3 linked regions of the Callithrix jacchus genome follow. The protein of the gene in region 3 interacts with the protein of the main gene of each other region in a pairwise test. Links are inferred from orthologs where the notes say so. Each region holds a gene or a part of one and is shown on either strand. Other genes may lie near its edges.

Region 1 (4,343 bases), on a different chromosome or scaffold from region 3:
CAAATACTCAAATGTGAATGACTGTAGTTCTTTCAAGTAAAAAATGCTGTTCCATGAAAAAAGGCAACTATTTCACCTTACAATCCAATTGCACAAAAGTTTTTCCTCAAGATAACCCTTTAATTTAGGTTTGCATAAGTGTTTGATGAAAACTTCCCATGTCACTGAACAGCATATTAAAAAGACATACACTCAAGGGTTGAGATTTGAAGAAAATTAATGATTTTACTGCTTTATCAACATTTTTAAGTGAAACTGGCTTTTTAAAAAAACTATAGGTGTAGTATTCAGTGCCACTGTCTTGATTCAAGCTAAGGTACTAGCAGTATTAAGTAGTGCTTTTCCACCATCAGAGCAAGTGTGAACGAACTGAAAAAAAAAAAAAAAAAATCCTTAGTATTCAAAGAAAGTAGTATTGGCCTTGCAGGTCCCAAAAGGACCTCAAGATCCCCAGGGGTCCATTCACCACACTCTGAAAGTCACTGCTACAGAACAACTGCATTCTCTCTGCATCTCAATTCCAAGCATCAAATTCACTAACCGCTACCTCCTCTCTAACTTACTCCAAGTCCTCCCTTGCATACACCCTAGTTCCCTTCTCTCTTCCCCTACACTCACAGATCACAATCCCAATCCAGGTTAAATCCTATTAGATTTGTATCAGAAGCAGCCGAATATGGTTAGAGAAAAAACATCACCATCCTTGCTGGTTCATTCTCTCATTCTTCTAGAGTCTAAGATCTAAGATTTAAATGATCATTTCACATCTTTTCTGGCTTTAAAACTCTAACACCTCTCTCTCCCTCCTTAACACTCTGCTGATGAGTGTTCACTATAAAAACAGTAACTATACTTCCTGCTAACAGGCCTGAAAAAAATAATAATCAAAAGAGAACATCCTCCTATCATCTCTATTAACTTGCAAATATACCTCATCCTCTGCCTTCCCTTAGGAAGAACTGACGTCTATGCTTCTAAGGCCAACTCCCTCACTTGTGCACTGGATTTCATCCCCTTTGGCTACTCAAGGACAATGCCCCTACAGTTTTCCTTCTCTCTCTTGCATTATAAAATGCTCTCACTCTATTGGATCATTTCCTAGAATATACAAACATGCTGCAATACTTCCTCTCTCTCAAAGAGTAAAAAATATCATGGCCCAGCAACCATACCTTATTTTTTGCTTCCCTTTATAGCAAAACCCCAAGAACTATCTGTAAGTGCTATTTTCAATTCCACTCCTCCCATTCTCTTAAATCCACCCGAATCCTGACCTCTCCACTGGAACTCCTCTTGTCAAGATCAAGTGATCTCCTCCTTGCCAAATCCAAAGGGCAATTCTCAGTTATCTTACTCAAACAACTGCATTTGACCTACTTGACCACTTCCTCCTTGAAATGCTTCACTTGGCCTCTGGTATTTAAGAGGGAGAGAGATGGAAGGCAAAAACTGTTTGACACCCAGGGCTAAGTATCTTTCTTAGTGCTATGATACACAGATCTAATTGTGTAGTTTATGGGGGGGGGTAAGATGTTAAAATCAGTTTTTGACCTCAAGTCTGAAAGAGTAATAACACATCTCAGTAGAAATGCAATCATAACGATAGCATTCAATTTCCTTACAAAACACTTGGTGAATGACCAACTTTAAGGAGCTTTTTGTATGCAGTGGACCGATGTTCATCAAACCATGACTTACACAAAGAGCTTAGGATCCACTTACAGGCCTGAGACTAGAACTTGCTTCTAATAATGAGACAGTGACCAGCAAGGCTGACTTGTGAGTGAAGGGACAAAAAATGATAATCAGACTGATGATGATGGTAATAGTCATGGTAGTACACATTTACTACTCATTTACTTCAGGGAATGCACCGTTAAACACTATACATGCCCTCTAGTATACATACTCCTCATACACTTTAATGAAACAGGGACTATCATCCCCACTTTACGTATGGGGTAAAGAGGAGCTAGCTAAAATCACAGTTATTAAAGAGAAGAGCAAAGATTTGGATATAGGGCGGTTGAGATTCCAAAACTCAAGTATTCTAAGCAAAATTTTTGTACTGCTTCTTGCAAGGAAAATCATGAAACTTCAATTGAATACATGACAATTTAAAAAATATATAGCTTAAGAAGTTTTCTCAAAGTAACGATACATACTCACTAGGCACTTTCCTATACATAATTTCCTACTTAATGGCAATTACATGATTGTCTTCTTTTTTTCGGACGTATGTTTTCTCCTACGTAAGTCTAAACATACGCATCGCCTCTAAAATGAAGCTGGCAGGCTATATAACTTTACTACAGGAGCTGAAATCGTATTCTAGTTCTCCACTTGCTTATTTCCATTATCTTGACTTCCATTATTTCACCACATACCTGAAGGGAAAAGCCCAGGACATGCCGGGGCTGCCTCAGTGTACTTCAACAGCAAAAGGCGAATAAACCACTGTGCAAAGAGACCACTGTGCAAGCCTAATCAATTCTCAAGAAACAGGGTTTTGCTTTCAAGGTACGAAGCAGGTAGGAAAGGTGGGGCTTACAGCCTTGCCAAAAACGTTCTCCTCAAGAAGAACCCAATTCCAAGTGGAAAAGGTACCCTGAAAAGCAGCTTAACCTCAAACTTAAATCCAAGCCTAACTGCCTGCCCAGTCCGCCCCAGCCCAGCCCAGCGGAAGCTCGTCGGGGAAGAGCCCATTGAAGGCGTCACCTTCAGGAGACATCCTCTGTCATAGTGCTCGCAGCCCCGCTGCACTCGCTCTTGACCGCTCGCGCCATCTTCCCGCGCCGTCGCCGCCATCTCCTCCACCTCCCCTCACATTCCACCGAGCCTTCCCACAGGATGAAAACCACGCCCAGTGAAGCTGCGCCGCTCTAGCACACCCCCTCCCAGCCGCAGCCGTCACCAGCGCTAATATGGCTCCTAAGCACGTGACCCGGGGCAAACGGATTTCCGGTTTCCGGGACTACGAGACGGAAGCGAGGGCAGACGCAGTCTCCGTCGTTGACGTTAGTCGCAGTCTTCTCTACTGACGGTAATAACTCTTAGGTTGCTTCTTCTTTTCCCCCCATCGCTACCCGCCGAAATCTCAGGGCGTGGTTCGCCGCGAGGTGGGCTGCAGCGGCGCGGAGACGCTGGTTGGCCCCTGAGGAATGGACGCTCTCGGGGCGCACCGTTACCTGTGACAGGGCGGCCCCTCCCTCTCTCACGGGTGTCGGGAAGCCTGGAGAAAGGGGCGGAGCTCGGCCCAGGTCTTGGGCTCTGCGGGTCCCGCGCGGCGCTCTTGGACGCCAGGGCAGTCGCTAGCACCTCGAAGTGCCCCTTGCTTCCTCCATTTCCCGTTTACTTGCTGTTCATTCCAAGTATGTACTAACATTCACTATTGCCAGTCACCAGCTAAACTGTGAGGACAAAAAGTGAGAAAAAATAGACACACTCTACCATGCCCTCATGGAACTAACAAGACTGCTGGAGGAGGAAGACGTTAATAAGAGCAGTCACTGCAATAAATGTGGTTACAATTTGGAAAAGTGCTAGGAAGAAATGTGTGTCCTGTGAGAGCTAATATTAGAGGAGCTCTGACTTAATCTGGGTGTCAACAGTCGGAAGGTTTCCTTGGGGAAGCGATGCAAGCTGAGGGCTGAAAGATGAGTAGGAGTTAGTGTGCAAAAGGCTTTGTGGCACAGAGAACATGGTACCCATTCGAAGGTAGAAGAGAAGTGTACAGGCCGACAAATGGAAATCAGGTGCCTCAGGGTTCATAGCTAAATATGTTTCACCTTGTTAAATAGCGAAGACGCCGGAAAATGTTCTAAGCAAAGCTGCAGGTGTTAGAAGAAACTATTTGTCTTTGGTTTTCTAACCTGATTTCATGTTTCCTAAAACGCTGGGAAACGGAAAATGTTCCCTTCAGCTTTCAAGTTACTGACTCTTAACATTCTAATTTTCTTTCAGTTCTGTTATGAGTTGCTAAAATGGTGAAATGCTGCTCCGCCATTGGATGTGCTTCTCGCTGTTTGCCAAATTCGAAGTTAAAAGGACTGACATTTCACGTGTAAGATTTTGCTGTAGTTAAGCCAAATACTTTGGCCATGTTATAAAAAGGAAAAGACAGTTCTACTTAAGTCTTCAGTTTTGAACTTTAGTTCCCAAATCCTTTTTAAATACCCTTTTTGTTAAATTTGAAGTGACATCGTGATACCTCTACATGTTTATAATTTAGTTTAAACGTTTAAGATACCTGCCAAGTGTATCAGAGACTGGTTTACAAAAAAATACCGTAAGGCTCACTTTTGCTGATATTATTACTTTGTATTTTGTCCTACAGCCAAAGA
Region 2 (4,168 bases), on a different chromosome or scaffold from region 3:
CTCTGTTGTATTGTTTTATATACAAAAAGGGGAACTTCATGTGTCAATGCAGACTTCTGGTGTGCTCAAAATATTTGGAAAATATTCTGGAAAAATCTGAATATTTGGCAATGTGGGATGTTATTTCATGATGACAGCTGGCTGGGATGAAGGAGCAGTGCCTGCTTCAGCTGGGATGAATGCTCACCTGTATGGAAAAGTTCCTGCTATTACCTATGACTTCACACCTGGCCTCGATAGGCATTTTGGTGTGAGTATTAAATTTATTTTATTAATCCAATAAATCCTTATTGGGCAGCTTTTATTACCAAGCCTTGTCCTAGTCATGGGGGATATAGAGGTGGCAAAAAGGATCAAGGATTCTGTTTAGATAGAACTCATATTTTGATGGAAGACACACAATTTTTAAAAATTGAAACATTAACATTTAATATATCCAGTCTTGATTACAGCTATAAAGACCATCAAGCAGGCTAAGAGTAATGGAAGGTAATGAGATAGGAGTGGGGACAGGTGAGGTGCCATTTTGTATCAGGTATCTGTAAGGTGATAAGGTGACATTGCGGCAGAGAATGAAGTCAGTGAGGGTCTTCCCAAAGCCAGGAAGAGAGATTCTGTCTTCATGCCACCCTTCTTAAGGCCTGTAAGGCAAGGGAACAAGCACAAAGGCCTTCTTGGAACATTCCAGAATAAAATATAGAGGCCAAAACACCAAGAGTTCTCATTTATTTTTAGTTTTGCATTCTGGTAGAAGCTAAACACAAACTAACACCTTATTATGTTTTTAGTTTCACTATTGTAAACACTTTGGGCAGGTAAAGTGAAAATTCCAGGGTGATATTTATCCATTTAAAAGAGTGAATCAATCCTATTTTATTTCCTATATTTTTGGGAGCTTGCCTTTCTGCTTTAGTCATAGGACGCATAGGGCAAGCTTTTCTAATCTGATTGTTGGATGACAGTATGGCATCTTCCTTTAGGTTCTTTTCTTGGGTCATGATCACAGCTAGTGCTAAACCACTCCACGCTGCCTGATCACACACCAGGATTTGGTCATCCACATAAACATGATGCTGTTGTGAGTTCACTTTTCTATTTAGAGAAGCATGTCAGCTAGAAATATTTCCACCTTATTTCTCAGACGCATGCGTGCTGAGTGAGTGGCCAAAATAGCCCCTTGAGTAAGTGGCAGCTTTAAAAACCATCCAACTGCTGACTTCAAACTAGAAGGTCAGCAAAGGAAAGTGGAAGTTAGATTCTGAACGATCGAGGTGCCCACAGGAATTTAATAGTCGTCGGATTTCGGAGACTTGAACTAGGCCGGGGGTTCTCCTTGCATTTCGTGCCTGTTGCCTATCGTCGTCGTCTCTCTGCAAGCTTCAACATGAATGTGCAGGCTTGCTCTAGGTGTGGGTATGGGGTTTATCCTGCTGAAAAGATCAGCTGTTTAGATCAGGTCAGTAGACGTTTCTTGGCTTTTGTGAATAATAACAAACATGGGAAATTGACTTTCTCACATATGGACTTAGGTAATATGGAAATGTAATTTTCAGTTAAAATTTTTTAAACCACAAGAAGTTGTATTTTCCCTCCTTTAATTTGTACCACCCATTTCTATTTCTTCTGTGTTGTCTTGAAAAGAAGTCATCCATTTATTTAACTGTGAGTGTTGTTATAGCTGTGTGTGTGTGGTTTTTATTTTTTTAAAAATCACCATTTTATTCTTGAAGCTCATTTCTTTTTAACCCTAAATATATAAGAATTTTGAGTCTGGGGGAAAACAGATAATTGCTAAATCTTCTCTATACAATTTCTAGATATGGCATAAAGCCTGTTTTCACTGTGAAGTTTGCAAGATGATGCTGTCAGTTAATAACTTTGTGAGTCACCAGAAAAAGCCATACTGTCACGCGTAAGTATTTGATGCCACACCACTACCTCTTGAGTTTTATTTGTTTTTCAACAAGTAGCCAACTAAACGTCCAAATCATACACCCCGGGGTTAAATTCAAGAAATGTCTTCTCTTATATCCTGTCACTGAAGAAACCTAAGGTGGGATTTCATGCAATGGACACAAAATTTCAAATTTCTTCCAAGTAAAAGATCAAATATATCCACTATAACCTTATCTCAAATTATTAAATATTGTGCAGAACAATGTAATGGCCATGAATATGCATATAGAGCTTTGAAGTATTTTCTTTTAAATAATTTCAGAATCCTTTTTTACTTTCTTCAGAAAGTTTTCAAGTGATCATTTCCAGTTAAATTTAGGCTTTCAGTTATATGTGTTGATTTTATTTTATTTGCTTTTTTTTTTCTGTAAGATCAATACTTGGAAAATTGTGAACTTAATGTTTAAGTTTTCTATTTATTGATTTTTTAAAAATAACTTATTTAAAAATAATTTTAAGAATAGTCCCTCAATCATTTGAATAAAGTACATTTCTAATTTTGCTTTGTATCTATTTATTGTAGCCATAATCCCAAGAACAACACTTTCACCAGTGTCTATCACACTCCCTTAAATCTAGATGTGAGGACACCTCCAGAGGCCATCAGTGGGGTAAGTTATTTAATTTTCAATGGGAGAGAGGGTATGAAGAGTAGTCGGTTAATGGTAGAAACGTACAATTAAATAGAAAGAATATATTCTAGCCAGGCACGGTGGCTCACACCTAAAATCCCAACATTTGGGGAGGCCAAAGTGGGCAGCTGGTTTGAGCTTAGGGGTTAGAGACCAGCCTGGGCAACATAGTAAGACCCTGTCTTTATTTCTTAAATAAATAAATAAATAAATAAAAGAAGAACTATGTTCTAATGTCCTATAGCAGAGCAGGGTGACCACAATTACCAACAACTTATCGTATATTTCAAAACAGCTAGAATAGAAATGATAAATACTCGAGGTGATAAACACCCTAAATACCCTGTCTTGATCATTTCACATTCTAATATGTGGCAAAATATTACATGTATTCCATAAATATGTGCAAATATTATATATCAATTAAAAATGCTTAGACATATGTTAAGTGTTTGTCTCTGTCTGCATGGGAATCTGCCCATTTCTTCCACATACACATGCAAAGTGCATTTAAGTAACAAATGTGACTGTTCTGTCACAAAATTAGGGGCCAATATACGAATAATCTAGTTTGAATAATTTAGGTCTTTGATTTCAGTATGATTTTTGTGTCTTGACCAGCTCAAGACTGTCTCACAGTATGATGACAGTTTATAGAGTAGCCTTTGCATGCACCAAGTACTTAATACATAAAACCATGCTTACATAGCTGGAACATATTACAAGGATCTTTGCTTTGCCTTGTAATAGTCTGGTACATAAAATTAAAACTTTTAGTTTCACACTTGCAAATCTCTCTGAATTCAGCAAGTACTTATGATTATTGATAGCCTCTTTTCCCCTTGGGGTAGGGATAGGTCAAAGATGTTTTGCTTTGGAAAGGAAGTTTAGTTTAGAAAGGGTGGGATTGAGATGGGGAGGTAAACATGGAGGCCACATTGACAAATCCAACCTCTTGTAAATCTAATAGTAGAGTTTGGTCAAATAACCAGCTATTGATGGAACTCTTGCACCTATTAAAATGATGAATCACTGAGCTTCTATAACCCATGCCCTCAAGAAGTTGCTCTGTGGGATGAAGTTTTAGTGGCTTTCTAAAATTAGAAAATTACACATGAGGTGGAAGGCTCTCTAGTAATCCCTCTTTATCCAAGATTCCCTTCCTAATGTTGCTCCACGTCATACTGACTCTCTTCCTGCCCAGCTGTCCTCCTCCCCAAGAAATTGTGTATGAGATAGTGGCCTTGCTGTGTGGCTCTCTACACATGCTGGTAAAATACCTTATTTTTACCAAGTGCTTTGAACTGACTGTGAGTTTATGATTTCTTTTATTTAACAAGCTTATATAGCATTTACTATAGAAGCACTTAATTCATTTAACATACATTGCAACCCAACGAAGTTGATACTACTATTATTCCATTTTGTGGTGAGGAAACTGAGGCTCAAATTGTTGCTCAGACATCATTGCTTCCTGGGGATTCACAAGTCTTAGGAATTCACAAGCAATCCTAGATGACTGAGAAGGCTAATTCTTTTAGGACTTGTGTTCATCTCTTGGTGCCTGAGGGCAGCTACAT
Region 3 (2,834 bases):
AACGGTGTATGGATACTTAGATCTGTTCTTTATGCAACTCCTTGACAAATAATAATGAATGTTCCAAATCAGTCCCAAGTCAGGTTTTTCAGAAAATAACGTGTAAGGATAGAAGTCAAATATATGTCTATGAAAGCTATGTGAGACCCATAAGCTGGTGTGTGGCTGAAAGTGATGATTAATTTATGACTTGCAGAGTTGAATGTGATAGTTATGAGCAGACTGAGGAGTCACCTTACTATATGCACTAAGAAGAAACAGTGAATGGAGGACATCACATCCCAGAAAATGAATGTGATCACCCTTCCTTGCAGTCAGAAATTTAGCAAATAGCCCCTTCACAGAGAGTAGCCAAAATTTAAATCAGTGAATACACATCCTCCTCCACATCTCCCACTGACCCCATCTTCTGCCCCAGCATTAAAGAATCAATCCATTTCCTAAGGATGCTCTCTTACCCTCTTGCCACAGATGCTGTAGTTATTGGCTTGAAGACTAATTTACTGGTTTTAATAAAAATTTGATTTGGAAACCACGAATAACGTGCCAGTGTCGCAAAAAAAAAAAAAAAAAAAAAAAAAAGAGAAAAATGGCCATTTGAATTTGACTATTTTTACTTAGAAGAGATTTTTTCCCCATCCATTTATTACACGTCTGAAGTAGCATTTCTGAAGTCATCTTACGGCATGTAATTTTTAGCAAAATGCACAGGATTCCTGTCATTTTGAAGCATGAGGAGAGGTTTTTGATATCTTAAACATTTTTTTAATGTAGATGCACATATTCTCCACTTCCAATTGTAATAGAAAATCAGTGTAAAGATACCCTAACAATGCAAATGAAATGATTAACAAATAACTCAAATTTAGGAGCCTTCTTTACAATCCATTGAGTGAAACATTCACAAAATAATTTGTTCAACTGAATATTTAATTTCTTATTAGAAAATGGTTTTAAGTTCTGAACATTACATTGAAGAGTCAGTGACTGAGGTTTTGTTACCTACTGCTCCTCTCTAAGACAGTTTCCTGAATAATTTCTACATGAGTGTCTGTACAAGCTTTTAAAAAACAATAAATTAAAGCCCCATTCACCACACAAACCACCTCCCCCTTATGTTTTGTCACCTTGTTCATAGTTTAGACAGTTTGAAGAGATTTAAACGTGTTGCTAGGCAACTAGCTCCTGAAGCATAGCGTATTTCCTTCAACATCCCAGCCCATTCTTTTTTATCATCTTCATACCTGATGGAGGGAAAAAAAGTAATCAATAAGCAGCTTTAGTTCTATAGGTTTCCCTGTGTTTGGTATACAAATGTGGATCTTTGAAAAAACTCTAGTGGCTCTTATTCAGAGGAAGATGCACCTACCTGGTAGAACGGCACTTGAATATCTCCCAAATAAATAGGCAGTCTGAATGAGCATGTACCTGAACTACTACTGCCACAGTTTTTAATCTGGATGCCTAGGCAGTTCAGCCTTCTCTCTCTTTTTTTAAAAATAATATTTAATATTTTTAGTAGAGACAGGGTTTCACCATGTTGGCCAAGATGGTCTCAATCTCTTGACCTTGTGATCCACCTGCCTTGGCCTCCCAAAGTGCTGGGATTACAGGCATGAACCACTCTGTCCACCCAGTTCAGCCTTCTCTGGGAATCAAAGACTGCACAGAGAAGAGGAATAAACAGCTAAGCAGTTAAACATTCACCTTTGAACTGATGGAAGATGGCTGGTCTTTGAGTCAAGGTAAGCAGACTCTTGCTTAAGAGAAAAACTGGGGGAGAGTAGACTATCGGTAGCCTTAGTTATGCCTTCAGTTGTTCCTGTATGCTAGTGTCTAGCATGGCACCTGATACACAACAGTCGCTTTATGAAAATTTGTTCCCCTTCCTTCCCCTTTATTGTTCTGTTTGAGGACAGCTCTTAGACTTTGCACTTGACTTTGGTAAGGACTGGTCTTCATCTCTGAATATTGAAGGTTATAAAGATATAGACAACTTGAATTCCCTTGTACCATGTGTGCCAAACATGTCTGCTCTGCCTGGGGCCAGGAATGTTTTCTCTGTGTGGGAAGCTTCTAAATGCTGCCTTCTCTCTGAAACCTTTCTCACCTTCCTTAAGCACAGTTTGTTGCTTTCTCTTCATTTCTCATATCATCCTTTATATGGTATTATAGCAATTATCACTCCATTTTAATTTTCCCCCCATGTCAATGTCCTCAAGTCCCAAAGGCATCTGAGGACAAATAATATATTTATCCACCTTAATATCTCTCCACAAGTTGTGAAGACTTGGCACAAGACTTACCCCAAATCAGCCTGGCATGGTGGCTCATGCTTGTAATCCCAGCACTTTGGGAAGCCAAGGCGGGCAGATCACCTAAGGTCAGAAGTTCAAGACCTTGGCCTGGCCAATATGGCAAAACCCCATCTCTAATAAAAATATAAAAATTAGCTGGGTTTGGTGGTATGTGCCTGTAATCCCAGCTACTCCAGAGGCTGAGGCAGGAGAATTGCTTGAAACCAGGAGGCAGAGGTTGTAGTGAGCCAAGATTGCACCACTGCACTCCAGCCTGTGTGACAGAGCAAGACTCCATTTAAAAAAAAAAAAAAAAGATTTACCCAAATCATTCTATGATGAATGAAGGAGATTTAAAATAATTATTAGAATTAGCTTGTACCTACGTACAGTATTCACTGACTTAATTTCATCAGTGTTCCAAATTCTCAACAATTACACCATGCACTCATGGTATAATTTTTTTTTTTTATGTAGAGGAAAGCATACAAAAAAATTTTGCTACTAATAAAGGGAAGAACCTCAATCATATAAAAT

Evidence for each region.
Region 1: the proteins of KLHL41 (region 3) and RCHY1 interact in binary tests that used the Homo sapiens proteins (3 or more experiments, as listed by UniProt). The two-hybrid records come from large-scale screens. The link is inferred for Callithrix jacchus from reciprocal best matches to the Homo sapiens genes KLHL41 and RCHY1.
Region 2: the proteins of KLHL41 (region 3) and NRAP interact in binary tests that used the Homo sapiens proteins (3 or more experiments, as listed by UniProt). The link is inferred for Callithrix jacchus from reciprocal best matches to the Homo sapiens genes KLHL41 and NRAP.

What each region holds. Positions count from the first base shown.
Region 1 is NC_133504.1:122,639,918-122,644,260, reverse strand, and holds the start of RCHY1 (RING finger and CHY zinc finger domain-containing protein 1), read right to left. Parts: upstream 2,846-4,343; 5' UTR 2,809-2,845; coding exon 2,719-2,808; intron 1-2,718. Other genes in the region: THAP6 (THAP domain-containing protein 6), read left to right, coding at 3,984-4,063. UniProt on the Homo sapiens protein: E3 ubiquitin-protein ligase that mediates ubiquitination of target proteins, including p53/TP53, TP73, HDAC1 and CDKN1B. Mediates ubiquitination and degradation of p53/TP53; preferentially acts on tetrameric p53/TP53.
Region 2 is NC_133513.1:106,614,573-106,618,740, reverse strand, and holds the start of NRAP (nebulin-related-anchoring protein), read left to right. Parts: upstream 1-1,225; 5' UTR 1,226-1,384; coding exon 1,385-1,456; intron 1,457-1,817; coding exon 1,818-1,912; intron 1,913-2,479; coding exon 2,480-2,567; intron 2,568-4,168. UniProt on the Homo sapiens protein: May be involved in anchoring the terminal actin filaments in the myofibril to the membrane and in transmitting tension from the myofibrils to the extracellular matrix.
Region 3 is NC_133507.1:60,003,955-60,006,788, forward strand, and holds the end of KLHL41 (kelch-like protein 41), read right to left. Parts: intron 1,245-2,834; coding exon 1,133-1,244; 3' UTR 597-1,132; downstream 1-596. UniProt on the Homo sapiens protein: Involved in skeletal muscle development and differentiation. Regulates proliferation and differentiation of myoblasts and plays a role in myofibril assembly by promoting lateral fusion of adjacent thin fibrils into mature, wide myofibrils.